Macaca fascicularis: one gene and its partners. The protein of the gene in region 2 purifies or fractionates together with the protein of the main gene of each other region. This does not show direct contact. Links are inferred from orthologs where the notes say so. Each region holds a gene or a part of one and is shown on either strand. Other genes may lie near its edges.

Region 1 (9,776 bases), on a different chromosome or scaffold from region 2:
GTGGTGGACAGTTAAAAAATTGCCTCAGAGAAATCTGACTGAAGCATAGTTGAGAACCAATACACTTAGTTTTCTACCTAAAAGATGAAACCTCGGCCGGGCGCGGTGGCTCAAGCCTGTAATCCCCGCACTTTGGGAGGCCGAGACGGGCAGATCACGAGGTCAGGAGATCGAGACCATCCTGGCTAACACGGTGAAACCCCGTCTCTACTAAAAATTACAAAAAACTAGCCGGGCGAGGTGGTGGGTGCCTGTAGTCCCAGCTACTCGGGAGGCTGAGGCAGGAGAATGGAGTGAACCCGGGAGGCGGAGCTTGCAGTGAGCCGAGATCTGGCCACTGCACTCCAGCCTGGGTGACAGAGCAAGACTCCGTCTCAAAAAAAAAAAAAAAAAAAAAAAAGATGAAACCTCTGTGATTTTGCATTACAGACTCTGCAATCTGGCCCCAGTTTACCCCTCTCTTGCTTCATCTTTCATCTCTCCTACATAGATATCTAAAGTCAGGTCAAACCATACTTTTTGTCATTCTCTGAATGTCTTTATCCTGCCTCTGGCCTATTCCCTTTGTCTAGCACGCCATCTTTCAGTCTTACTTATGGTCTAGAACCCAGAAAAACTATTAATTACTACCTACTCCCAGATGCTTTATCTGATAATGCCCTCTCGCCAAAAAAAAAAAAAAAATGGTTTCTGTTTCTTCTAGTCAGTCATTCGTACTGGCCTCATCAACCTACTCTCTTGACAAAGGGATCCTGCCGTGCGTGCATGTGTGTGCATGTGTACATGTATTTTTTTGAGACTGAGTCTTGCTCTGTCACCCAGGCTGGAGTGCAGTGGCGTGATCTTGGCTCAATGCAGCCTCTCAGTCTCTCACGTTCAAGTAATTCTCATGACTTAGCCTCCCAAGCAGCTGGGATTACAGGCGTGTGCCACCATGCCCAGCTAATGTTTGTACTTTCAGTAGAGACAGGGTTTTGCCATGTTGGCCAGGCTGGTCTCAAACTCTTGGCCTCAAATGATCTGCTTGCCTTGGTTTCCTAATGTGCTGGGATTATAGGCATGAGCCACTGCTACCAGCCATATATTTTTATATCCCTCAATCACTTAACATTGTGTTTACTTTTTTTTTTGAGACGGGGTCTCGCTCTGTCGCCCAGGCTGGAGTGCAGTGGTGCGATCTCGATTCACTGCAAGCTCTGCCTCCTAGGTTCATGCCATTCTCCTGCCTCAGCCTCCAGAGTAGCTGGGACTACAGACAACTGTCGACACTATGCCAGGCTAATTTTTTGTATTTTTAGTAGAGACGGGGTTTCATCATGTTAGCCAGGATAGTCTCAATCTCCTGATCTTGTGATCCGCCCGCCTCGGCCTCCCAAAGTATTGTGATTACAGGCGTGAGCCACCGCGCCCGGCTCATTGTGTTTACTTTTATTTTTGAGATGGAGTCTTGCTTCGTCGCCAGGCTAGCGTGCAGTGGTGTAATCTTGGCTCACTGCAACCTCTACCTCCCAGGTTCAAGCGCTTCTTCTGCCTCAGCCTCCTGAGTAGCTGGGACTACAGGCGCATGCCACCACACCCAGCTAATTTTTGTTATGTTTAGTAGAGACAGACTTTCACGATGTTGGCCAGGATGATCACAATCTCTCGACCTTGTGATCCGCCTGCCTTGGCCTCCCAAAGTGCTGGGGTAACAGGCATGAGCCATCATGCCTGGCAGTGTTTACTTAGTATATGGTAAGCACTCAATTACTCTGTGATGAATGAAAGGAATACAATGATTTTTCTTTTTTTGAGATGGAGTCTCCCTCTGTCACCCAGGTGGGAGTAGAGTGCCATCACAGCTCACCGCAACCTCCGCCTCTCAGGTTCAAGTGATTCTCCCGCCTCAGCCTCCTGAGTAGCTGGGATTACAAGCATGCGCCACCATGCCTGGCTCACTTTTCTTTTCTTTTTTTTTTTTTTTGAGACAGAGTTTCACTCTTATTGCCCAGGCTGGAGTGCAATGTCACAATCTGCTCACTGCAACCTCTGCCTCCCGGGTTCAAGTGATTCTCCTGCCTCAGCCTCCCAAGTAGCTGGGATTACAGGCATGTGCCACCATTCCCGGCTAATTTTGTATTTTTAATAGAGAGAGTGTTTCTCCATGTTGGTCAGGCTGGTCTTGGACTCCCAACCTCAGGTGATCCGCCTCCCAAAGTGCTGCGATTGCCAGGGTGAGCCACCACACCCAGCCTAACTTTTGTATTTTTAATAGAGACAAGGTTTTGCCATGTTGGCCAGGCTGGGATTTTTCTTACCTATGGTTCTTACAGCTTCCTTGTGATCAGCTCTGAAGAGATTTATTCGACCATCCTCTCCAACTGTAACGATTTCTGGGTTATTGCACACAACACCTGTACATGGTGCACTGCTATAGGAAGGACTGCCAGGGCCTGCGTGGTAGTGAGCTGTAGTCCACTGCTGGTTGACTGACAGAGTCTAGGCATCAGAAATGAGGATACTATTAAAGAAAAGTACTAAGGAACTAGCACTTCTTACCAACAAGAGTATCTTTAAATTCTGACTCACATCCTTCTACAAGAATAAATCTTTTTTCCTTTAGAATAATGAAATCTAGAAACTACTTGCATCAAAGTTCTGTATACATAGAATTAGATTCAAAAGAAATACTGTTTAATAATGCCCCACATTTATCTCAAACTACAGTAATGACTTTTAGGGATCAAGCAGTTGGATGTTCAAAAGCAACTCTTTGTATTCTTATGGAAATTAACCTACATCTAAAATATAAATCTCTGGCCCATGGCTGTGGCTCATGCCTGTAATCCTAGCACTTTGGGAGGCCAAGGCAGGCAGATCATCTGAGGTCAGGAGTTCGAGACCAGCCTGGTCAATATGGTGAAATCCCATCTCTACTAAAAATACAAAAATTAGCCAGGTATGGTGGCACACACCTGTAATCCCAGCTACTTGGGAAGCTAAGGTGGGAGAATTGCTTGAACCAGGGAGGTGCAGGCTGCAGTGAGCAGAGATCGTGCCACTGCACTCCAGCCTGGGCGACAGAGAGAGACTCTGTCTCAAAATAAATAAATTAATTAATTAAAAAAATATTAATCTCTGTAGCTTTTTCTAAATGACTCAAAAAACCTTTAACACGAACTGGGTCTTATATTTACTAGGCATGTCTATTAGAAACGTTACCTTTGGCCGGGAGCAGTGGCTTATGCCTATAATCCCAGCACTTTGGGAGGGTGAAGAGGGCTGATCACCTGAGGTCAGGAGTTCGAGATCAGCCTGACCAACATGGAGAAACCCCGTCTCTACGAAAAATATAAAATTAGCCGGGCATGGTGTCACATGCCTGTAATCCCAGCTACTTGGGAGGCTGAGGCAGGAGAATCACTTGAAGCTGGAAGGCGGAGCTTGTGATGAGCCGAGATTGTGCCATTGCACTCCAGTGCCTGGGCAAAAAGAGCAGAACTCCATCTCCAAAAAAAAAAAAAAATCACTTTTCAAACTGAAGTTCTTTACCTGGTTATTCGGATGGTGAAGGAAAACTGTTACACATCCTGTTGATGAAGCAGTGACAATTCTTTCCTGGTCAAAAAACTAAAGAGAAAATTTCTGCTTGTTAAAGACTCAGAAATACTAGCAGGGAGGAAATCTATTCATTTATTTAACTCAATTAGTAGCAAATGATAACAATTTTAAAAAGCAAAGAGCCTATGAGTGCTAAGCAAATAACATGTGTTAATGGAGCTGAAAGTCCAAACTGCCATACAAAGCATTTTCATGAATAAACAGTATTTTTTTCCTAGACACATTTACCCGCCATTGATTTAATTTGAGACCAACACAATAAAACGTTAGAAAAATACCATTCCTGGCTGGGTGCGGTGGCTCACGCCTGTAATCCCAGCACTTTGAGAGGCCTAGGCGGACAGATCGCTTGAGTTCAGGAGTTCAAGACCACCCTGGGCAATGTGGCGAGACCTCGTCTCTACGAAAATACAAAAATGAGTCGGGGTTGTGGGGAAGCGGAGCTTGCAGCGAGCCAAGATCGAGCCCCTGCATTCCGGCCTGGTTGACAGAGCAAGACTCAGTTTCAAAAACAGAATAAAAATTTTTAAAAAGAAAAGCCAGGCGCGGTGGCTCATGCCTGTAATCCCAGCACTTTGGGAGGCTGAAGCAGGCAGATCACGAGGCCAGGAGTTTGAGACCAGCCTGGCCAATATGTTGAAACCCCGTCTCTACTAAAAACACAAAAATTAGCTGGGCGTGGTGGCAGGTGCCTGTACTCCCAGCTACTCAGCAGGCTGAGGCAGAAGAATCGCTTGAACCCAGAAGGCAGGGTTGCAGTGAGCCGAGATAGTGCCACTGCACCACTCCAGCTTGGGCGACAGAGCAAGACTCCATCTCAAAAAAAAAAAAAAAGAAAAAAAGAAAGGAAAAATATTGTCCTGGCATGGTGGCTCACGCCTGTAATCCTAGCACTTCAGGAGGCCAAGCCGGGTGAACCACGAGGTCAGGAGTTCAAGACCAGCCTGGCCAACATAGTGAAACCCCATCTCTACTAAAAACACAAAAATTAGCCAGGCATGGAGGCATATGCCTGTTGTCCCAGTTACTCAACGCTGAGGCAGAAGAACTGCATGAACCCAGGAGGCAGAGGTTGCAGTGAGCTGAGATCGTGCCACTGCACTCCAGCTCAGGTGACAGTGTGAGACTCCGTCTCAAAAAAAAAAAAAAAAAAAGATCTTTCCTAGGGCTAGATAGCTTTCTTCTCTTTCTTCTCTCTGTCTCTTTTTCTTTCTTTTTTTTTTTTGGGACAGTGTTTCGCTCTTGTTGCCCAGACTGGCGTGCACTCAGCTTACTGTAACCTCTGCGCCCAGGTTCAAGCAATTCTCCTGCCTCAGCTTCCCGAGTAGCTAGGATTACAGGCGTACACCAGGGCTAGGTAGCTTTCTATAGAATAAAATGCAGGGGCTCTCCACACCAGGATTTGAAAACTTAATTTCGGCCAGGCACAGTGGCTCACTCCTGCAATCCCAGCACTTTGGGAGGCCGAGATCAGGAGTTCAAGACCATCCTGGTTAATATGGTGAAACCCCGTCTCTACTAAAAATACAAACAATTAGCCGGGTGTGGTGGCCTGTGCCTGTAGTCCCAGCTACCTGGGAGGCTGAGGCAGGAGAATCGCTTGAATCCGGGAAGTGGAGGCTGTAGTGAGCCGAGATCATGCCACTGTACTCCAGCCGGGGAGACAGAGTGAGACTTCACCTCAAAAAAAAAAAAAAAGAAAAAAAGAAAGCTCAATTTCATCCCCACCACTCACTACTGGTTTTGAGACTTTGGCCAAGTTAAGTTCACTAAATCGTGGTAAATCTTTAAAACGGGAGCACTAATCTCTGCTTAGGGAGTTGTCATGAGAATTCAAAAAACAAAATGATGTTAATCCCCCTGCACAGTATCTGTCACATAGTACATGCTTAAGATATGTTAGTCTCAATTTTCTCATTAGTAAAACAAAGTAACAATACTTGATATACCGGCAACCAATAATAATTAATTTTTGTAAAGCTCCCCAAACGGTACTTAGCACATAGTCGACGGTCAATAAATAAAAAAGTATGATTAAATCTACATCCCCTTTCCCAGTCCTTTTTCTGCCACTAAATGGCTAAATGATGTCGGCCAAATCATAACTTACAGAGCACTCAGTTTTTTGTAAATGAGGGGTGATACAAGACAACCTTTATGATGCTCTGCTTGTTTAAATGTATTACTCAGGACTTTCAAAGTTAGCTTTTGGATGCTACACAGATTTACCTGTAAATCCATGACATCACCATGGTGTCTGATATCACACAATAATTGATGGTCTCCTTCAAACCCTCCATCAGAGTCCAAGTTTCCAAAATCTCCAATAGACCACAGTGAAACATAATTTTCCTGTAAAACAAAGAGTTTTGTCTTGAGATGACATAAACGTCAACTATCGGAAAATAAAAGTTGCGCTTCCGTCCAGAAAGCTTGCTCCAAAACATCTCAGACAAATAGTATGGTGAGTTTAAAACGTAACGAGATATGAGGCTCAGGCACACCATCACGGGTTCTGAGCTATGGCGCAACCGCGCCTGAGACAGGGTCCGAGGGACCTAGAAGTGCGAGAAAAACCAGAAGGTGGGAGTTGGCGCGCGCGCGGCCAGGGGTCAGCTCAACCGGAGGGAGGGAAGAGGCAGGGGCTCGTCCCTATCAGCAGGGATACCTCATTGTCCCAAGATCCGGTAGCAAACGTCTCCGCGGTTTGCAAACTTCCGGGAGGCAGCGGTCGCCAGCGGGTTTTGCTGATTTTCTGAGACACAAACTTCGCATAAATTTCCTCCATGCCGAAAGCAGCCGCAGCAGGCACTGCAAAAAGCAAGCACAACGCGCGCCTCTCAGCCCCGCCTCTTCCCGCGGAACCCTGATTGGATGGGACTTTAGGAGGGAGACGGTGGCTGCAGAGAGTCAATTCTCTTCGGTAGCCAGTGTGGGCACGGTCAGTATACAAACTGGGAGAACCTAGACCGAGAGGCCCATCTCCTAGAGCGACTCTGAGCAAAGGCAAGAGCGCTTTGGCCTTTGAGCAGTAGGACTTGCTCCTAATCTAAAATATCAGTATTTTCTTGTGTTCAATAATTGTGCAGTGTAAAATTTAAGAGCAAAAATAGAACAAAATCAATACAGTAGAAACCACCTTGAAACCACACCTAAGCAGTTGCAGGTCACTGCGCATAGAAAACAATTCAAAAATCCTTAAATACTCATGGAAGTACCTCGAATACAGTGCCAACCTACTATCCTAAACCTCTCCCTCTTGTCCCCCAAACAAATACTTTGCTTGAAAGTTAATACACACTGTCAGAGCCTGGAGTTAGAATTCTGAAAGACTCCAGTTTTAGTTTTGATGCCAATTGCCTAGCTTTGGTCAATTTAATTATGTGCATGATTAAGAATGAGGTTTGTGATATCTATTGTCAATAGCCCAGGAATCAGTTTTCTAGGTTCCTTCTGTGCTTTTGGTTACACCTATAATATTCTTCCCTTCCTCTTTACTCCTCAGAATCCTGCCTATCCTTCAAGGATCTGTTCTTTCCTTAACCATTTCCTGATGCCCCCAGCCAATGTTGATCTAAATCAACATCGCTTTTTTTCTTTTTGAAGACAGGGTCTCACTCTGTGGCCCAGGTTGAAGTGCAGTGGCACAATCTCAGCTCACTGCAACCTCCGCCTCCCAGATTAAAGTGATTCTCTCACCTCAGCTTCCAGGGTAGCTGGGACTACAGGTGCGTGTCACCATGCCTGGCTATTTTTTTTTTTTTTTGGTAGAGACGGGATTTTACCATATTGGCCAGGCTGGTCTCGAACTCCTGACCTCAGGTGATCCGCCTGCCTTGTCCTCCCAAAGTGCTGGGATTACAGGCGTGAGCTTGCATTTGATATCTAGGCCACTATTACATATATTTTGGATATATTCTATCGTTAGTTTTCTTAAGATGCATATTCCTCCCTAATTAGAATGTAAATCCGGCCGGGCGCGGTGGCTCAAGCCTGTAATCCCAGCATTTTGGGAGGCCGAGACGGGCGGATCATGAGGTCAGGAGATGGAGACCATCCTGGCTAACCCGGTGAAACTCCGTCTCTACTAAAAAAATACAAAAAACTAGCCGGGCGAGGTGGCGGGCGCCTGTAGTCCCAGCTACTCGGGAGGCTGAGGCAGGAGAATGGCGTGAACCCGGGAGGCGGAGCTTGCAGTGAGCTGAGATCCAGCCACTGCACTCTAGCCTGGGCGACAGAATTAGACTCCGTCTCAAAAAAAAAAGAATAAAAAAAGAATGTAAATCCTACTGAATACAAGAGGTATGACTTATCTAAAAAATGAACCTCTTTAATACTACAGGTATTCATAACTGTATGTTGGTTGTTTCTTTAAAAAGGGCCATTATGCTATTGTTGTTTTTATGTGATATTGGTAGTCCTACTTCACAGGGACAGTTTAGGGAAGCACTGCATGTAAATGCAATCCGTCTGGCTCAGCTTTAGAGTTATCAGGTTCCTATCAAGGATTTGACTTTTTTCTTTTCACCAAATGGAAGATCATCAAGAAACTGTAGAAAAGATGAAATGGAAAATATTAAGTGGGTTACAGTCCCAAATCAACAATTTATTCATGTTTAATATTGAAGTAAAGAACACTGTTTTGGCTGGGCACGGTGGCTCATGCCTGTAATTCCAGCACTTTGGGAGATCGAGGCAGGCAGATCACGAGGTCAGGAGTTCAAGACCAGCCTGGCCAACATGGTGAAACTCTACTACTAAAAATACAAAAAAATTAGCTGGGCATGGTGGTCGTGCCTGTAATTCCAGCTACCCGGGAGGCTGCGGCAGAATTCCTTGAACGCGGACCTGGGAGGCGGAGGTTGCAGTGAGCCAAGATCGTGCCACTGCATTCCAGCCTGGGCTACTGAGCGAGACTCCGTCTCAAAAAACAAAAACAAAAACAAAAAACCCAGTTTTGTCAGTAGTTTCATTTATGGTCACAGAATCCCAGAAAATAGGTAGTGACGATTTTGGATGGGAAACAGGCCAGTGTCACATTTTACAAAATCGGGTAAGAACTAGAATTTGAAAATTGTGCTGACATAGTAGCACAGATGTCTTAGCCTTGTTTCCTTCCAACAGATTACTGGAGGCCGGGCGCAATGGCTTACGCCTGTAATCCCAGCACTTGGGGAGGCGGACGAGGGCAGATCCCGAGGTCAGGAGATCGAGACCATCCTGGCTAACACGGTGAAACCCCGTCTCTACTAAAAATACAAAAAATTAGCCGGGCGTGGTGGCGGGCGCCTGTAGTCTCAGCTACTCAGGAGGCTGAACCCGGGAGGCGGAGCTTGCAGTGAGCCGAGATCGCGCCACTGCACTCCAGCCTGGGCGACAGAGCGAGACTCTGTCTCAAAAAAAAAAAAAAAGAAAGAAAAAAAAAAAGATTACTGGACTAAGTGATGGCTGGATTCTGTCAGTCTCAGGTCAAATTACGAGTCAGCGATTTGGACGCGACAAGCAATGTTCTCAGTGAGCTTCTCACTCATGGTCTTGCAGAGCTGATAGCAATAAAGCTATGGTGGAATTTGTGAGGCTTAATTAGGTGGAAATGCACACTTTTGTCGGGAGAATAACACGTTCACCAGCGGACACAGTGGTATTTTTTAACCAATCGCAATTCTTTACGTTCGTATTATTCTAAGGGAGCAAAGCTTTGCCCCAACCCCCACCCCCATGTCCTGGTATTCTTCCACTCCCTGACAGCTTTAGAACCAGGGTTCCAAAGTCTTTGCTTAGCCTAACGGTGACATGTTTGTCACAAAGCCAGAGGCCGGTGTACTCGGGTTAGAGAGGGCCTTTGTCGTTGGGTTTTATTCTTATTGTGTTATTCGGGCTCCACAGACCCAAATACCAGTCAACTGGGTTGGGCGAGGTAGGAACGGATGAAGCCCACCGTCTAACAATCTGGACATCTATAGGAGGAGATCCGCCGCTCGAAACAGCTGACCCAGCAGCGACTGCGGAACCACAAGGAGCGTCTGCAAAGATCGACCCCGCCATCCCGCCGTCCCGCTCGGTGACCGGAGACGCAGCCGGGAACGCGACTGATCAGGCTACGGAGCCCGGCCGCAGGGCGAAGTCGGTGCGGTTCGAGGCCTCAGAAAGGGACACGCAGCAGCGGCGGTGGCGCT
Region 2 (9,850 bases):
GGAAAGTAAACTTCATGTTCCCCTCTATTAGATCTCCAGTGCCTGGCACATAGTGAGTACTAGTGTATTACTCACGCTGCTAATAAAGACATACCCGAGACCGGGTAATTTATAAAGGAGAAGTTTAATTACTCACAGTTGAGCATGGCTGGGGATGCCTCGGGAAACTTACAATCATGGCGGATGGGGAAACAAACACATCATTCTTCACATGGCAGCAGGAAGTGCCAAAAAGAGGGAAAAGCCCCTTATAAAACCATCAGATCTCATGAGAACTCACTCACTATCACGAGAACTGCATGGAGGTAGCCGCCCCCAGGATTAAATTACCTCCCACTAGGTCTCTCCCGTGTCACGTGGGGGTTACAGGAACAATTCAAGATAAGATTTGGGTGGGAACACAGTCAAACCATATCAACTAGGGCTTTGTTGATTTAATGCACATAAGCCAACCATACCCCACAAAGTAGGTACTAGCCTTATAGTACATGTGAGGAAACTGAGGAATGAGGCATCTCATTCATGTTGGGAATATTAATTGAAAAACTTGTCAGCTCCTGTGGTCCTTGGAGTTCCTTGAAAATAATGTTATATGCCAATACTTCTTATAGTACTGTGAAGACGCACCATATCCCATATCTCTTTTGTCAGTGGAAAGAACACAGATTTGGAGCCAAGTAAAAGTACCTTTGGCTACCTGTGACGTCTAGGACAAGTTCCCACCTTTTGGTGCCAGTTTCTCCATCTATAAAATGGGGACAACGCTTAACTTAAGAGTTATTTTAGATCCAATATAAAAATTCCCAGCCCAATGCCTGACATGCAGTAAACAGGCAATGATACTGTTTTTCCTCTCTACGAGTCACAACTACCCAGGAAGGGAGTTTTCACCATTCCTGGCCATCCACCCCATGCTGGACACTGGGGGAGTGCTGACTGTGATGAACGAAACAAACAGGGTACTGGTCCTACTATTACAGAATGTTTGCTTCATAAGAACAGGCACTGACTGTATCATCTCTCAACACAACGGAATGAAGCTAGGAATGAGTAACAAAAGAAAAACTGGAACATTCACAAATGTGTGGAAATTAACAGATTTCTAAACAATCAAGTGGTCAAAAAAGAAATCACAAGGGAAATTAGAAAATACTTCGAGATTAATGAAAACAAAAACACAAAATACCAAAACTGAGAGTGTGTGATGAAAAGTGTGCAGAGAGAAATTCATAGCTGTAAATGTCTATATTAAGAAACAAGAAAGTAACTATGTGAGGTGATGGGTGTTAATTAGCTCGGGTGTAGTCATCATTTCATAATGTGTATCAAAACATCACACTACTTTATAATTTTTTATAAAAATAAATTTTCTTACAAAAGAACAGGCGCTATGTCTGTCTGGCTCACCATTGTACCCAACACCCAACAGGGTGCCAAGGAACATAAAAGGTACTCAAAATATGTTTGTTGATTGGAGTTTACAAGGAAGAAAGGTATTTTATTATACATCCGTTCCCTTCCCACCCACACACAGCTTCTTCTAAGAAAAGAAATTGAGGCTGGGCAAGGTTAAAAGCTAGCTCCTGGTACCTTTGCATCCACACTCAGCTTATCTGTACCTTAAACCAGACTTCATCAAACTTCAGTCTTCACAAGTCACTTCATCATTTTTGCTCTACCTACTCATTGCCTGTGACAGAAATCAACTCAGTTTGCTTACCTGTATAAACTTAAAAGGAACTTTATATCAATCACTTGTCTTAGAAGGTAACCACAAAAATACAAAACAATAAAAATAAAAACAATGTTAACATGAATTTCAGTTGCCTGAAAGCTGTAAGTCTGCTTTTTTAAAAGAGAAATTGGAGTTAAGCAGATTTTTCATTTTTTGATCATGACCCTGAAAGAGAAATATATTTGACATCAAAACTCAGTACATATCCTTGTCTACATATACATGTGAAAGTTTCATAAAACAATACATTGATATTTTCTATGCTGCAATTCTATTTCATTTTAAAAAATGCTGGTTGTATCCCATTAAACTGGTTTCAAAATAAATATATCATGTACACAACAAAAAAAACACTGGGTTAGAGGGCCAGTAAGCTCAGTGAGCATCACTGAGACTTCATCCTTGTCTCACAAGGACTAAAAAGAGAGTAACATTCTCATTATGTGGTTCAATGCCACACCCATATAACTGAGACATACATGTCACAATCTGGGAGAAGCCTGTCCTAGATTTAAATACCCAGTTCTGCCTAGAACATGACTCAGACACATAATAAGCTCTTGAGTAGAGTGAAGTGCAGATGATAATGACACCACAGGCACGATCACACACCACTTAAAAATATCTTAACACCTTTACTTAGATCTCATCTCATACTTTTAGTATTTCTTCAAATTTACTTTGAAAAAAGAGCTTCACTGTGTGTGGCTGTCATACACATTTTCCTACCCAACCATGGTCCTCTTTCTTCCTCTCAGGCGCACTTCATCTAATTTTTTTAGCACTGGCCTGGCCTTTTTGGAGGAGGTGGAGTAGCTCTTCAAAAAGGCTTCAAATACAGTTTCAGTGTTGGGATGGGTACTGAGGAAGGCCTTCTCCAGGACATAGAGGTCTACTCCCTTATCCTCTGGAAGTGCCGAAATGAAGCTCAGCCCAAAGTCTATGAGGACAATGTTCAGCTGTTCCAGGGGGGGTTTCAGGAGCATGTTGGAGGTGGTGAGATCACCATGAATGAGGTCTTCATCGTGCATTCGAGCCAAAACCTGCCCAATTGTCTTGGCTAAGTTGGAGAGACTTTGGGGAGTTTTTTCAGTCTCCATAGTAGACTGAATATAATCTCGAACAGTCACTGAGCCTTCAATTTCTTCCATATATAAGCAGTTGGAAGCATAGTCCACAAAAAAGACAACTGGGGCAGATATTCCTGAAATCAAGACATAAGTGGTTATTGGGTTGGATTTTTTTTTAATGGATAAACTTAATTTTCAAAGATTAAGCCAGTTTTTCCATCTATATCTACTTATTTCAGGATGATTTAGGAATGCTACAGGGAATGGTACAACTGAATGGAATATTCCCCTGCTCCTGCCCCCTGCAGGACTATACCTGGGACCACCCCACAGCTAAACTGAGGAGGCCATAGCTTCCTCCTCCCTTCCAAACCACCCTTTCTCACTGAACTTCATTTGTCACACTCACTCTCTAAAAAACAAACAAAACAAAGGCTGGGTGTGGTGGCTCATGCCTGTAATCCCAGCACTTTGGGAGGCCGAGGCAGGCGGATCACTAGAGGTCAGAAGTTCGAGACCAGCCTGGCCAACAGGGTGAAACCCCATCTCTACTAAAAATACAAAAATTAGCAGAGCGTGGTGGTATGCACCCGTAGTCCCAGCTACTCGGGAGGCTGAGGCAGGAGAATAGCTCAAACTCAGGGGGTAGAGGTTGCAGTAAGCCGAGATTGCGCCACTGCAGCACTCCAGCCTGGGTGACAAAGTGAGACACTGTCTCAAAATACAAAAACAAACAGCAAGGCACAGCCCAGTCAGAGCAGTTTCTACTGATGAGGACACAAACAGGAGGCCAAGCAGTGTGCTGGCTTCGAGGTTCATCTTCACAGTCAGAGAGGACAGGGTTCAAATCCCAGCTCCTTTTCTTATTAGTTGTCTAATCTAATCTTAAAATTACATTAACTTCTCGGCCAAGGCAGGTGGATCACGAGGTCAGGAGATCGAGACCATGCTGGCTAACATGGTGAAACCCCGTCTCTACCAAAAATACAAAATATTAGCCAGGCGTGGTGGCAGGCGCCTATAGTTCCAGCTATTCTGGAGGCTGAGGCAGGAGAATGGCGTGAACCCTGGAGGTGGAGCTTGCAGTGAGCCGAGATTGGCCACTGCACTACAGCCTGGGGGACAGAGCGAGACTCCGTCTCAAAAAAAAAAAAAAAATTACATTAACTTCTCTAAGTCTCAGTTTCTGCTACAATAAACTCAAATGAATTTTTACTGAAAGTCAACCAGGCTCAGTATACTTTTCTAGAAACTGAGAGATGTATCAATGGGGATACAGCAATAAACAAGCCAGCTATAATACAATCTCTGCTTAACGAAACATATCATAAGAGGCTGAAAACAGAAATATGAACACACAAATAAGTTCGTGAAATCTTCAGTCTCTGAAAGGGCAGCAATGTGTCTGCTTGTTGGCTACTGAATGTCCCCCCTTGCTAGATCTCCCAGCACTTAACAATGTCCTGGCACCCACAAGTACCTAAAAAATACTAATAAAAGAAAGGCACGAAGCGTAAAATTAAAAAGCCAGTACTTCTGAGTCAGAGGCATACGGAGCTGAGGGCCTGGACCGGCCACTTAGTAGCCGTGTAACCTTGGGCAAGTTACTTCTCTCTGAGTGTCACTTTCTCAACTGAGGACAAGGTTTATGGCGCTGGCGCACAATAAATAGGCAATTTAATGAAATCCAACACTTACTGAGCACTATGTGCCAGGCACACATTCGAACATAATACACTGCACACAGACCTCCTCTAATGGTCACAACATCCCTATGACATGGATATTGCTACTATGTCTCCCATTTTACAGGTGAAAAAACCGAAGGTGAGAGGCTAAATAACTTGTTGAAAGGCTACATAAGCAGCAGAGTTAGTATTTCAACCCAGACAGCCTGGCTCCAGTGGGGCAAGTACTTGTAATTACATGTTTCTTAAAACTAATAAATGAAAAGATAATGATCGAAAATTGAAACGAGTCAAATGGGGAAATCAAGGCTCAGGGAAGTTAAAGATGTTCGACGTTGAGCAATAATGACAGCGTCCAGATTTGAACCTGGCAGAACGGCCCCAGGACAAACGCTTGACGCTGCAAGGCCACGTGGTTTCTTAAGACTTAACGAATGAAGAAAGGGATGAAAGAATAACATTTCCGAAAGGCTGGCCACGGCAGAAGGCACAGAAGGAGAAACTGAGGCAAACCGTGGCTCGGAGCGCAGGAGAGTCCCTCACCCGCCCAGGCCCTAGAGCCTCGGGGCCGCCCACGCCAGGATCCGGGCCCTCCTTACCCGCGCGGCGGCAGCGGAGGAGAGCTCGCGCTTCCTGCACCGTCCGCCGCCGGCCAAGCCGCGCCTCCAGCGCCGGGTGCCGGTAGCCCTTGGGGAAGCGGTGCTTTATCACCGCCGCGCGGCCCTGGAAGCGGCCGCGGAACACGCGCGCCTCGGCGCCCTGCTTCACCAGCTCCAGGCCTCTCAAGAAGCGGCTGCTTCGCTCCCGGGCCGCGGCCAGAGCCTCAGCCTCTGGCGCGGGCTCCTCGCCATCGTCCGGGGCAGCAGGTCTGGCCGCCGCCATGACTGTGCTCGGCGGTACAGCTCCGACCGACCCGCTCTCTCTGAAAACTGTCGCGATGCTTCGGCTCGCTTCGGAAATCCTGGTACTTCTTCGGTTACCCGAACGCTTCCGCCCCGGACACTTCCGGCCTGTGAGTGGTTACGCCTCCCAACCTTTCGGCTCTCTGAAGCCTTGGGTTCCCTGCAGGAAGGGCTCCTGTGGCCCCGCCTTTCACCTCTTCGGCTATCTCCGTACACGTTCGGCAACTCTCGGTAAGTGGCTCTTCCCTACTCCTTGGCTCTCCGGAAATCTTCGGTGATTCCCGCAACCGGTTTTGGGAGATCACCTCCCAGTTGGTCGTCTCTTTCCGGAGAACTTCAGCTCCTCTCGAGAAAAACGTCGGACGCTCTTTGCTCACTTAAGGAGTCTCCTCCTGGACAGGTGCACCCTCTAGTAGTGTCTTTTTGGAACACCTCTTCCCCTGACTCCTAAATTCCCCCCAGAATGTACTCATACTAGTCAGTGTCGGAAGGGTCAGACAATGAACCGTGTTTCCGACATCCTCTTAAGTGCTAGGATAACTACCATTTAGTGCATTCAGAAGAAATAAGATTAAATGATGAAAATCCTTACAGAAAAGAAAATTGAGACTCAGAGAGGGCAGTGGGGGTGGTGGGATGGGGCGGGGAGTGGGGGCTGGGGAATCCAGGAAAGTTTTCCGGAGACAGAACCTAAACTGAATTGGGAGGAATTAAACTTTTTCAGTTTCTACCTGTTTCATTACAAAGCTAATAACACAGGCTGTAGCAAATTCTTACAATACGGAACTTTGCGCGCACACACACATATAAATAAACTGCCCATCCTCCTTGTGACACCGCTGGCCGTTAGTTTCTTTCCAGAACTTTCTTTTATTCAGTGCGCACACTCACACATCATTGTGGCCTTTTTTCCAACATAAATGACATCATACTGTGGGTTCTTTTGCAACTTGCATTTCATTTTCCTAAACAATTTATCTCGGACTATATTCCATATCAGTACATACAGAACTACCACATCCTTCTACTTGGTCAGGCAGTTTCTTGTTGCTAAGCAGTTGTTTCCAGTTTGTTGTTTTTCAGAAAAACACTTTACTTACTATTGCCAGTTTATTATAAAAGATAGTATAAAAGATAAAAAATGAACAGCCAGATGAAGAGGTACATAAGGGAAATTAAAAATTGTACGTATTTATCATGAGCAACATGTTTTGAAATATGTGTACATTGTGGAGTGGCTAAATCCAGCTAGTTAATGTTACCTAACATACTCATCATTTTGGGGATGAGGACACTTAAAATCTATTATCTTAGCACATTTTTCAAGAATACAACACATTGTTATATCTATAGTCACCATGTTGTGCAATAGATTTCATGAATGTTTCCTCCTAACTGAAATTTTGTGTCCTTTGACTAACATCTCAAAATCCTCCCAATCTCCCTCCTCCTGCCCCAGCGCCTGGTAACCACCATTCTACTCTGCTTGCATGAGTTCAACTTTTCTTACCTTCCTCATACAAATGAGATCATGGGATATTTGTCTTTCTGTGCCTGGCTTATTTCATTTAACACAATGTCCTCCAGTTCCATCCATATTGCTGTAAATGACAGCATTCCATTCTTTTTAAAGGCTGAGTAGTAGTATTCCATTATGTATATAAATGTACCATATTTGTATCCATTCATTTATTGATGGACACTTAGACTGAGAATTGCGAATGATGCTGCAATTAACATGGGAGTGCAGACATCTCTTCAATATACTGATTTTGTTTCCTTTGGATATGTACCCAGTAGTAGGGTTGCTGGATCATAAGGTAGTTCTATTTTTAATTTTTTGAAGAACCTCCATACTGTTTTCCATAATGTCTGTACTAATTTACATTCCTATTAACAGGGTGCAAGGATTCCCTTTTCTCCACGTCCTTGCCAACACTTTTTATCTTTCTTATGTTTTATCATAGCCATTCTAACAGGTCAGAGGTGATATCTCATTGTGGGTTTAATTTGCATTTCTCTGATGATTAGTGATGTTGAGCATTTTTAAAATATACCCGTCGTCCATTTTTATGTCTTCTTTTGGGAAATATTTCTTTTGATCTTTTGCCCACTTTTAATTCAGGTTTTGTCCTTTCTTACTATTGGATTGGATTCCTTATATATTTGGATATTAACCCCTTATCAGATGTATGGTTTGCAAACATTTTCTCCCTTTCAGTAGTTTGTCTTTTCACTCTTTTTTCTTTTTTCTTGACTGGTCAGAAGCATTTTAGTTTGATGCAATTCCATTTGTCTATTTTCACTTTTGCTGCCTGTGTTTTGAGGGTCATACACAAAAAATCATTGCTCAGACCAATGCCATGGCATTTTGTCCCTGTTTTCTTATAAGAGTTTTATGGTTTTGGCTGTTACATTAGACTAAAGTCTAATCCATTTTGAGTTGATTTTTGCATATGATATAAGATAAGGGTCTAATTTCTTTCACATGAATATCCAGTTGTCCCAACACCATTTATAGAAAAGACTGTCCTTTCTCCATTATGTGTTCTTGGCATTTTTGATGAAAATCAATTGACTATAAGTGTGTGGATTTATTTCTGGGCTCTGTATTCTGTTCCATTGGTCTATGTGCCTGTTTTTATGCTGGTGGCATGCTGTTTTGATTCCTATAATTTTGTAGTATATTTTGAAGTCAGGTAATGTGATGCCTCCAGCTTTGTTCTTTTTGCTCAAGATGGCTTTGACTATATGGAGTCTATTCTGATTCTATATAAATTCTAGAATTTTTTACTTCTACAAGAAATGTCATTGGAATGTTGATAGGAATTACATGGAATCTGTAGGACATTTTAACAACGTTACTCCTCCAGTTTTGTTTCTTTTTTTTTTTTTTTGTCTCATAAACAGTGCTGCAGGAGCAGGCTTATCCAAGTGATATCACTGGGTTGTAGGTGACAAGCACTTTGAAACTCAACACCTCAGCCAAACTACCCTCCCAAAGTTTTGTGCCTATTTATGCTTCAGTCAAACTCATGTCTCATTTTCTCATATCTTCATCTTCACTGAGTTTTTCAGGTGCTGGAAAGCTCAGTCAGAGGGTGGAGTGGGAGGGTGCTCAGGTTCCAGGCAGCGAGAACAGACACAGGGTACAGTTGGGTTGGACAAGAACCAGCAGCTCCACATGGCTGGAGCAAGTTGGCACTGGGGACAGGCAGGGAGCTGAAAGAACAAGGACAGTGGCCTGGTCCCAGAGGATTTTTCTTGCTGGAAGAGAGGTGCTGTGAGCCTGGGGTGACTGCACCAAGCATGGCCCTTTGAGGCCTTGACCTCTGGCTGCCAAATATGCAGCTGAGCTCTGGGTAGAACAGCCAAGCAGTAAAGGGGAGGGAGGCTTCTACTTTTTAGCCCTTTCTGAGCCTGAAAGAGAATCTATGGCCTCTTCCTCACTTCCCACCCATCAGCACCAGATGCCCATTCATTCATTTATTCACTAATTCATTTAGTAAATATTTATTGAGTAACTACTATAGGCCAGGCACTGTGCTAGGCCCTGAGGACAGAGCTGTAAAGAAAATAGAGAATCATTATTAGTGCCTCCATGGAGTTTATTTTCTAGTGGGTAGAAACTGACAATAAACACATAAGGAAAATGTGTCGTTGACAGGGGCTAGCAGGAGATAAATCAAGTGGGGAAGGGGGATGGGAAAGATGACCTGCATCTGGGCTTGCCAGGGACAGCCCTAGTTTTTACCTGTTACCCTGGAATAACTATCATTAGTGCCCCTGCCTTTTTTTTTTTTGAGATGGAATCTCACTCTGTTTTCCAGGCTGGAGTGCAGTAGCATGATCTTGGCTCACTGCAACCTCAACCTCCCGGGTTCAAGTGATTCTCGGGCCTCAGCCTCCTGAGTAGCTGGGACTACAGGTGTATGCCAGCATGCCCAACTAATTTGTTTGTATTTTTAGTAGAGATGGGGTTTCACCGTGTTGGATAGACTGGTCTTGAACTCCTGACCTCAGGTGATCTGCCTGCCTCGGCCTCCCAAAATGCTGGGATTATAGGCATGAGCCACCACACCCAGCCTAGTGTCCCCTCTTTACTCTCAAAAGCATCCAATTTTGGATGATACAATATATGGTTACCCTATGGGTAGTAGAGTGGGGTCGGAGGGAATGATCCAGTTTTATTTTATTTTTTTATTTTTATTTTAACTGAGACAGGATCTTGCTCTGTTGCCCAGGCTGCAGTGCAGTGGTGCAACCTCCTGGGGCTCAAGCAGTCAATCCTCCTACCTCAGCCTCCTGAGTAGCTGGGACCACAGGAATGTGCCACCACTTGCAGCCAATTGTTATCATTTTTTGTAGAGACAGGGTCTCCCTATGTAGTGCAGGCTGGTTACGAACTCCTGGCCTGAAGTGATCCTCTTGCCTTAGCCTCCCTCCCAAACTTCT
Region 3 (9,553 bases), on a different chromosome or scaffold from region 2:
AATTAGCCTAACGTGGTGGTGCATGCCGGTAGTCCCAGTTACTCGCGAGGCTGAGGCAGGAGAATCACTTGAACCCGGGAGGTGGAAGTTGTGGTGAGCTGAGATTGCACCATTGCACTCCAGCCTGGGCAACAAGAGCGAAATTCCGTCTCAAAAAAAAAAAAAAAAAGAACTAAAATAAAAAATAAATTAGCCTGGCGTGGTGGCACACACCTAGTGCTTGGCTGCTTGGGAGGCTGTGGTGGGAGGATCACCTGAGCCCAGGAATTCCAGTAAGCTGAGTGTGCCACTGTACTCCAGCCTGAGTGACAGTGACACCCAAGCGCAGCAGCAGATTAGAAAACCTGGCAAAGCATTTCTTCTATACTGGCCCATCTTTGTCAAACATGTGGCTTTCTTACAAAGAAGACAGTATTAGAATTGAAATCAGTATTAAAATTAATTAAAAGACCAATCTTATAAATCAGAATCTAAAAACACTGGGCCACAAACACAAATATTATCTTGAAATTTCTTCTTTATACCCACATTTTCCAAAGGAAACATAAAATGTTCAGAGAAAAGGTTCAGATATCAATTTAACAATGTGATCTATTTTCCGTATATACAGGTAAGTTTTTTTCTTTTTTGAGATGGAGTTTCGTTCTTGTTGCCCAGGCTGGAATGCAATGGCACGATCGGCTCACTGCAACTTCTGCCTCCCAGGTTCAAGCTATTCTCCTGCCTCAGCCTCCCAAGTAGCTGGGATTACAGGCATGCGCCACCACACCAGGCTAGTTTTGTATTTTTAGTAGAGATGGGGTTTCTCCATGTTGGTCAGGCTGGTCTCAAACTCTCGACCTCAGGTGATCCGCCCGCCTTGGCCTCCCAAAGTGCTGGGATTGTAAGTATCAGTCACTGCACCCAACCAGTTTTTTCTTTAATGATTGTATAGAGATAACAGTACTATAATAAATAACAGCTAAATATTAGAAACATCAGCATAAACTAAACAGATAATTTCTGACGATCTATAACTTTTTCTAGTTGGCATTGTTTGATTGCCCAAGAGTACTTAGTGGAAGGCTGCTGTTCCAAAGTAAAACAGTGTTTCAATGATATGAAAAGGTATATAGATTTTCAATGATATGAAAATTAAATTATTTCATAATAAAAGTGATTCATAAAAGTTGATTAGGCCGGGCGCGGTGGCTCAAGCCTGTAATCCCAGCACTTTGGGAGGCCGAGACGGGCGGATCACGAGGTCAGGAGATCGAGACCATCCCGGTTAACCCCGTGAAACCCCGTCTCTACTAAAAAATACAAAAAACTAGCCGGGCGAGGTGGCGGGCGCCTGTAGTCCCAGCTACTCGGGAGGCTGAGGCAGGAGAATGGCGTAAACCTGGGAGGCGGAGCTTGCAGTGAGCTGAGATCCGGCCACTGCACTCCAGCCTGGGCGACAGAGCCAGACTTAGTCTTTAAAAAAAAAAAAAAAAAAAAAAAGTTGATTAGGCCAGGCATGGTGGGCTCTTGCCTGTAATCCCAGCACTTTGGGAAGCTGAGGTGGGCAGATCCCTTGAGTCCAGGAGCTCTAGACCAGCCTGGGCAATGTGGTGAAACCATCTCTACAAAGAATACAAAAAAATTAGCTGGATGTGCTGGTGCATGCCTGTGGTCCCAGCTATTTGAGAGGTTGAGGTGGGAGGATCACCTGAGCCTGGGATGCGGAGGTTGCAGTGACAGTGAGCCAAGATCGTGCCACTGCACTGCAGCCTTAGTGACAGAGTGAAACCCTGTCTAAAATGCACATGCCTGTAATTTCAGCTACTTGGGAGGCTGAGGCAGAAGAATTGCTTGAACCCGGGAGGCAGAGGTTGCAGTGAGCAAGATCGCACCAATACACTCCAGCCTGGGCAACAAGAGTGAAACTCTGTCTCAAAAAAAAAAAAAGAAAAAAAAAGTTGATTAATGATTTCTCTCACCTTTTATCAGCTTAAAAAAAACCTAAAGGCTATTTATGTAACCCAGTACTCTGTAATCTGAGGGCAAATACTTATCCTGAGATTTATCTGTGAAATAAATCACATAGTTTGTAAAGTTACTTTCAACTCTAAAATCCCATGACTATTTGTATTTTACTAGGTACATGCTACTTGATTTCTTTGCATTGAAGCTATCTACATCAGGAAGGATGCATAGTGAATAAACATGCCTTAGTCCCACTGACAAGCAGAAAAGAAACACACACATACATACTTTAGGAATATATATTTTTAAAGGATTCAATAATCTTTTTAAAGCTAAATCAAAGCATGGCTACAGGAGGAGAGGAAATATCCAAATTGTAATCAACGCAGATTATTTACTTAAGGCCTTCCATTTGTACCTGTATACATACTATATCACAGCACAAAAGCATACCCTACCCCATCTGGCTCTCTTAAGGTACATGATAAATCAGATTAATGCACATTCATCAAGCGGCATCATCTCAGGATATCTGTATCTTTGACATGGGTATGAATTCAGGGTTTCCTTGGGTCTCTTTCAAGGACTCTCTCTTCAGTATTTCTATTTCCTCATTTTCCTTCTATTTATGAAGAACTGTTATTTTTACATTTAATGCCCACTTTTCACCACTTGTTCATGTCAGTTCTCTGAAATGTTACTGCCTATGAACCATGACGTACTGTTTATAACAGAAGCAGAAGTTAAAAGATGTAGACATCACACAAACCAATGGTTATTTTAAAAATAGAAAACAATGATAAAAATTCAGTTGCCAACTTAAGAGGATTTTATATATTATGAAGTGTTCTATTTTCCTCCCACGGTCTGAAATTTATTTCTCAAGAAAACAGATTTTATTTCTAAGCCTTTACTGTCTTTGCTAGAAACAGAAAAACCAGTTTTCTCTTTGGCAAAATTGTCCCAGGAAAACAACACAAATGCTTTTCCAAATTAGAGCATAAGTCTTCCTTAAATGTCCTAGTGTGACAATTGGGATACAACAGCCATCTTTTAAATGTCATAAAGGCTATTGTTAAGATGGTGGTTTTGGCCGTTTTGCAGATGGTCCATCGAAGTTAGTTCTGTTATCAATGTTATTTTCATCTTCGGCATCATCTTCATCATCACCTTTTAAAATAAATATTTGTTGTATGACAATACGTTCTATGGTTGAAAGAAATATATATAGCTAAAGTGGTTGATAACGAGACCATTTCACTTTAGAGATTAATAAAACCATGCACATTTTAGATTAAAATGATTTTGAGAATTTCAGTGTTTAAAATCTTTATTTTCTATCACTTTCCTCTTTGGAAATATTAACTCATTCATCATAAAATCCAGTCTCTTTTTTTTTTTGAGATGGAGTCTTTCTCTGTTACCAGGCTGGAGTGTAGTGGCGCGATCTCAGCTTACTGCAACCTCTGCCTCCAGGGTTCAAGTGATTCCCGTCTCAGCCTCCCAAGTAGCTGGGATTACAGGCACGCGCTACCATGCCCGGCTAATTTTTTGTATTTTAGTAGAGACAGCGTTTCACCATGTTGGCCAAGATGGTCTCGATCTCCCGACCTCGTGATCTGCATGCCTTGGCCTCCCAAACTGCTGGGATTACAGGCATGAACCACTGTAGCCGGCCAAAATCCACTTTTAAAAGTGTACCGCTTAGTGGTTTTTAGTATATTCACTAGATTGTGCAACCATCACCACTCTCTAATCCTAGAACACTTTCATCACTCCAAAGAGAAATGAATTATGCCCATTAGCAGTCACTTTCCCTCAGCCTTCGGCAACCACTAATCTACTTTTGTTCCCCCTTAATTTTTATTAGTGAGAGGGTCTTGCTATGTTGCCCAGGCTAGACTCAAACTCCCAGGTTCAAGTGATCCTCCTGTGTCAGCCTCTAGAGTAGCTGGGACTACAGGTGCCCACCACTGCACCCAGCTCACTAATCTCTCTCTATGGATTTGCCTATTCTGTACATTCATATAAACAAAATCATATAACATGTACCCTTCTGTGTCTGGCTCTCACTGTAGCATAATGTTTTCAAGGTTCATTCATGTTGTAGCACGTATTAATACTTCATTACCTTTTATTGCTAATAATATTCCATTGTATGGATACACCACATTTTGTTAATGCACTCATCAGTTGATGGATATTTGCATTATTTCTATTTTTTAAAATTATCATTATTTTTAGAGATGAAGCGATGGGGCCTCACTCTGTCCTCCAGGCTGGAGTGCAGTGGAACAATCAGCCCACTGCAGCTTCAAACTCTTGGGTTCACGTGATCCTCCCACCTCCTAAAGGTGCAACACCAAGCCCGGTCAATTGTTGTTTCCACATTTTAGTCACTATAAATGCTGCTGCTATGAACATTCATGTGTAAGTTTTTGTGTGAACATACTTTCCAGTTCTCTTGCGAGGACTACCAGTGGAACTGCTGGGTCATGTGGTAACTTCATATCAACTTTTTGAGGAGCTACCAAACTCTTTTTCCCAGTGGTTACACTGTTTTACATTTCCACCAACAATGTACAAGATCTCCAATTTCTCCACATTCCAGCCAACACTTGTTATTGTTCTTTTTGATCATAGCCAACATCCATATTATCAAGATGTAATTCCCAAGATGGAAGGAAAGTACAGTTTAAGCTCTTCTTAGAGAATTGTAAATCCTAACTCTAATATCTATTCTTGGATTTTTCAGCTCAGGACAGTTAAAATGTACCTGCCTGGCCAGGTGCAGCAGCTCAGGCTTGTAATTCCAGCACTTTGGGAGGCCAAGGCAGGTGGATCACGAGGTTAGGAGTTCGAGACCAGCCCGGCCAACACAGTGAAACCCTGTCTCTACTGAAAATACAAAAACTAGCTGGGAGTGGTGGCGGGCGCCTGTAATCTCAGCTACTTGGGAGGCTGAGACAGGAGAATCACTTGAACCCGGGAAGCAGAGGTTGCAGTGAGCCGAGATTGTGCCACTGCACTCCAGCCTGGGCAACAGAGCTAGACTCCATTTCAAAAAAAAAAAAAGTACCTGCCTATTTCTGCATTCGAGGCAATTTTTAAAAAATAATGCAGTTAAACTTCACGTTTCTACTTTCAAACTGCACCTACAAAACTGGAAAGGCAAGGGAGTCTCTAGGAGTTAATACATGTTAAAATTAAGTCTGTCCCACTCCTTGGAACCTGTTCCTACTCTGCGATAGATTGTACTCTTCCAAATATGTCTGTAGTTTCACACCTGATAAAACTCCTTTTTATTCAATACTCCAGCTCAAAAGTCTTATCCTCTTTGAAGCCTTCCGAGGGTCTCTGGGTTTGCAACACTTACAGAGGGCCATAGAACCACGTTCTTTTTTTTTTTTTTTTGAGACGGAGTCTCGCTCTGTAGTCCAGGCTGGAGTGCAGTGGCACGATCTCGGCTCACTGCAACTTCCGCCTCCCGGGGTCAAGCGATTCTTCTGCCTCAGCCTCCCCAGTAGCTGGGATTACAGGTGCCCGCCACCACTCCCAGCTAATTTTTGTATTTTTAGTAGAGACAGGGTTTCACCATATTGGCCAGGCTGGTCTCGAACTCCTGACCTCGTGATCCGCTCGCCTCAGCCTCCCAAAGTGCTGGGATTACAGGCGTGAGCTACCAGCCTGGCCACTTTCACTTTTAATAAGAGTGTCTGCCTGTATAATCCCCTTGTGTTTCACAAGGGCAGGAACTGAGTCGCATTGACCTCATTCTTCCTCCAGGGCTCAGCTCAGGGTTTGGCAAATAGTAGTAGGCATTCGGCAAGTTTTTTAGTGAAATAAATGAAATAGCGATGAGTCGTGGAAATGTTTGAGTAGAAGCAGCCCAAATATAGTGATAAATGCCAACAATTTTTATTTTTTAAATTATCTTTGAAATAACAATGGAAACGGGGTCTCGATATGTTGCCCTGGCTGTTCTGGAACTCCTGACCTCAAGTGATCCTCCTGCCTCGCCCTCCCAAAGTGTTGGGATTACAGGAGTGAGCCCCACTTCGCCTGGCCCGCCAAAAATTTTTAGATGCAATTCTTCTTTCCTCGAGGCTCACTTTGTCCAAGTCTGCCACTCTACACGGGCTCCCCAAGCCAATTTCCCCTGGCTCCCGCCCCGTCCTCCTGTCGCTGCAGCACCGTCTCAGAGCTCACCGTCCAGGGCCTCGTCTGGAGCCGCCGCCACCCGGTGCTGCACTTCCGCCTGTACCAGGGGGCCGAATAATTCCGTTACCAGCTCCTTCATCTGGGCCACGCCAGACAATAGGCCCTGGAAAGGGTCGCCGTCACCCGGCGCCTCACAGGACACCCGCAGCTTCTGCGGCTTCCCTTCCTGCCCGACATACTCTCCCAGCAGCTCCATGGTGACCACTAAGCTTCCAGAACACGACACCGGGAAGCGCCACCCGGAGGCGGAAATCAGCCCGTGGCCTGCGCAGGCGGCAGAAGGGAGAGGAGTGACATCCGTTTGTCGGAAGTCGCTCCTCCCCCTTCCTTCGCCTTTTTTCCTTGTCATTGGTTCCTGGCACTCGGGCCCCGCCTCCTCCGGCTACGCCCCTCGTGGCCGCTTTTCCCGCCTCCGCCGGGGCCGAGCCGCGGTTCGGGTGACAGTTGAGGATGGCCGGAGCCGAGGGCTCCGCTGGGCGGCAGTCGGAGCTGGAGCCCGTGGTATCGTTGGTCGACGTCCTCGAGGAGGACGAGGAGCTGGAGAATGAGGCGTGTGCTGTCCTGGGCGGCAGCGACTCCGAGAAGTGCTCCTACTCGCAGGTGGGCACGCGGCCCGGGCCTTGTCTCCCGCGGCTCCCGCCGAACCTCCCCTTCCCGGCCCGGCTGTCCCTATTCCCGCCTGCCGCAGTCGTCTCCCCAGTGGTGGTCCGGGGCCGCCGTTAGTCTGCCGCTTCCTTACCCCAAGCCCACCCTTCCCTTTTATCCCCAACCTCCTGGGCCCCCTTCAGCCTGTGTCCAGCAGGGGCCCCCATCTCCCCTCTCTCTAACTCTGTCCGGCCAGCCAGGAAGGACCCTGGAGCAGCTGCTCTGTCCGTCCTCTCCAGCCTCGTCCTGGTGCACCACTGCTTTTCACGAAACCAGCCCGCGACCTCTCAGATCCAGACATCTTTGTCCCTGCTTTTCCCATCCTAAGATTATTTATTTATTTATTAGGGACCAAATGGGAGACGTCAGGTTAAAGAGATTTTCAAATCCATAGGGATTTGCGGTGAGCTCCTTGACAGCTAGTTCCTCTGCAATTTAGTTTGACAAGTGCTAGCTAGTACTTTTTCTTTCTTTTTTTGGCAAAATGGAGCAAGTACCCATGTCTGTCTGCAGTCTGCCCTCCTCCCCTGGAAATAGACCGGAAACAGAACAGCAAGTGGCTCTGGCAGGGGAGGGGAGAGAGGAGAAAAGGATCTATTTGGCATTTGGAAGACGTTGTGAGTGAGCAAGTGTTTGAGGGGGTGTGATGTGTTTAGTGACTCACCCTATACTTCGAGGCACAAAAATGGAAAAGGATGGGTAGGAAGAAGACTGACAAAGGATAAGAACTGGCAGGAAGAAGGGTTACCGAGGCAGAGGGGTGGATTGGAACACTGGGGAGATGAGAGGAGAGACTTGCATTCATTATGTGGTATGAACTGAGGTCATAATACCAGTTCTCGTTGTTGACCAAGTTTAGTTTACACTGCAAAGTGCTAGATTGTTGAATAAACCTGGTATCCAGACATAGCCCCAGGTACTTTAAAACCTTTGGTCACCACTAAAACAATTTTTCGCCTGCTTTCCTTAAAAAAAAAAAAAAAAGTTCTAAGTCTGTATGTAAACTATTTTTGAAGTGTAGTTACCTTTATAAAATGGATTCCCTTAATGTTTTCTTTTTATTGTGGTAAAAAAAAAATATGGAAATTTGCACAAATCATGTACACAGCTTGAAAGGAAAGTGTGCATGTTCCCACCACCCAGATCAACAAATAGAACATTAGGAGTGCAAAAGGCTTATTGGAAAAGAACTTAAAAAAAAAGAGAAAAGAAAGAAATAGAATTTTACTGGCATCCCGGAAGCCTCCTTGTCTATTCTTCCTCCTTCCTAGAGGAAGGTAACTATACCTATTATACATATTCACTTTTTTTTTTTTTTTTTGAGATGGAATTTCACTCTTGCCACCCAGGCTGGAGTGCAATGTCATGATCTTGGCTCACCGCAACCTCCACCTCCCGGGTTCAAGCGATTCTCCTGTCTCAGCCTCCCGAGTAGCTGGGATTACAGATGCCCGCCACCACGGCCAGCTAATTTTTATATTTTTAGTAGATGGGGTTTTTTAGAGATGGGGTTTCACCACGCTGACCAGGCTGGTCTTGAACTCGTGACCTGAGGTGATCTGCCCACCTTGGCCTCCCAAAGGGCTGGGATTACAGGCGTGAGCACTGCACCCAGCCTACATATTCACTTTTTAACATTTTGTCACATTTATCTCCTTTTCTACTTAAAATTTGTTGTTTTAAAATTTTGAACTATTTAAAAATAAGTTGCAGACATGATGACACTATACCTCTAAATACTTCAGCATGCATCTCCTAAAAATCAAAGAGATTCTTTGCATGTGTTGATTCTCTCTTTGGTGGATTTACAAACATTTTCCAGGATGAAAGTGTGATATTACTTACATAAACCTATACATATGCTCCTGTGTTTTCACCTGTTAAAATGATTAAACAGATTCATTTATTCACAGCCGACTGACAAATTCAGACATCCTATCACTTTAAGAAAGGAGTGCTGACTTGTGTCATGGCTAATGCTTGTAATCCCAGAACTTTGGAAGGCCAAGGCAGAGAACTGCTTGAGCCCAGGAGTTTGAGACAAGCCTGGGCAACATAGCAAGACCTCGTCTCTGCAAAAAATAAATAAATTAGGAAGAAAGAAAAAAGTGCTTGCATGAAAAGCACTAGTATAAAAATGAAACATGCAACACAACTGTGTTTTGGTTGATGCTCTGCTGTGTAAACTTTTTAGTCTTAATGGTTTTTACAGAAAGATCTTGACCACAGATAATCTGATTTTAATTATTTTTCAGTTCCTAGTGTGGGTATTAGGTAAGCCATGCTATTACATTAATTCTCTTTTCCATTTTGGGGGCTTTTAGGGCTCAGTAAAGAGGCAAGCACTATATGCCTGTAGTACCTGCACCCCAGAGGGAGAAGAACCAGCAGGAATTTGTTTAGCTTGCAGTTATGAATGTCATGGAAGTCACAAACTATTTGAGCTATACACAAAAAGGTAAACATAGTCAGAGATTGTTACTAAATGCTTTTGAAGTGTAGATTCTGTCCCATCTACACTTTTTCCTTATCATGTTTTTTCATGCAAAGCTGTTGTACAGTAGTGAAATTTCATGTAATTATTTTATATAATTGGAGTTTCCAGAGCCTTTAAAAACATAATATGGTACAAACTCAAACTACTCATCTTTCTCTACCATCATTTTACTTGTGTGTGTTTGTGTGTATGTGATATAAATATTTGCTTCTGTACATATTAATTTCCAGAATTGTGAAGTCT

Evidence for each region. Proteins that work in one complex are often made in the same cells at the same time.
Region 1: the proteins of TP53RK (region 2) and NUP43 purify together in Homo sapiens (affinity purification with mass spectrometry; 3 studies listed by BioGRID and IntAct, counting the BioPlex papers as one, with this or other methods). This does not show direct contact. The link is inferred for Macaca fascicularis from reciprocal best matches to the Homo sapiens genes TP53RK and NUP43.
Region 3: the proteins of TP53RK (region 2) and GON7 purify together in Homo sapiens (affinity purification with mass spectrometry; 5 studies listed by BioGRID and IntAct, counting the BioPlex papers as one, with this or other methods). This does not show direct contact. The link is inferred for Macaca fascicularis from reciprocal best matches to the Homo sapiens genes TP53RK and GON7.

The regions. Positions count from the first base shown.
Region 1 is NC_088378.1:57,729,456-57,739,231, forward strand, and holds the start of NUP43 (nucleoporin Nup43), read right to left. Parts: upstream 6,423-9,776; 5' UTR 6,389-6,422; coding exon 6,269-6,388; intron 5,953-6,268; coding exon 5,830-5,952; intron 3,610-5,829; coding exon 3,532-3,609; intron 2,479-3,531; coding exon 2,298-2,478; intron 1-2,297. UniProt on the Homo sapiens protein: Component of the Nup107-160 subcomplex of the nuclear pore complex (NPC). The Nup107-160 subcomplex is required for the assembly of a functional NPC.
Region 2 is NC_088384.1:102,738,716-102,748,565, forward strand, and holds TP53RK (EKC/KEOPS complex subunit TP53RK), read right to left. Parts: upstream 5,376-9,850; coding exon 5,093-5,375; exon of another isoform or gene 4,908-5,092; intron 2,940-4,907; coding exon 2,461-2,939; 3' UTR 106-2,460; downstream 1-105.
Region 3 is NC_088381.1:161,202,769-161,212,321, forward strand, and holds GON7 (EKC/KEOPS complex subunit GON7), read right to left. Parts: upstream 6,423-9,553; 5' UTR 6,365-6,422; coding exon 6,157-6,364; intron 3,118-6,156; coding exon 3,023-3,117; 3' UTR 2,233-3,022; downstream 1-2,232. Other genes in the region: putative E3 ubiquitin-protein ligase UBR7, read left to right, coding at 6,619-6,768, 9,138-9,271. UniProt on the Homo sapiens protein: Component of the EKC/KEOPS complex that is required for the formation of a threonylcarbamoyl group on adenosine at position 37 (t(6)A37) in tRNAs that read codons beginning with adenine.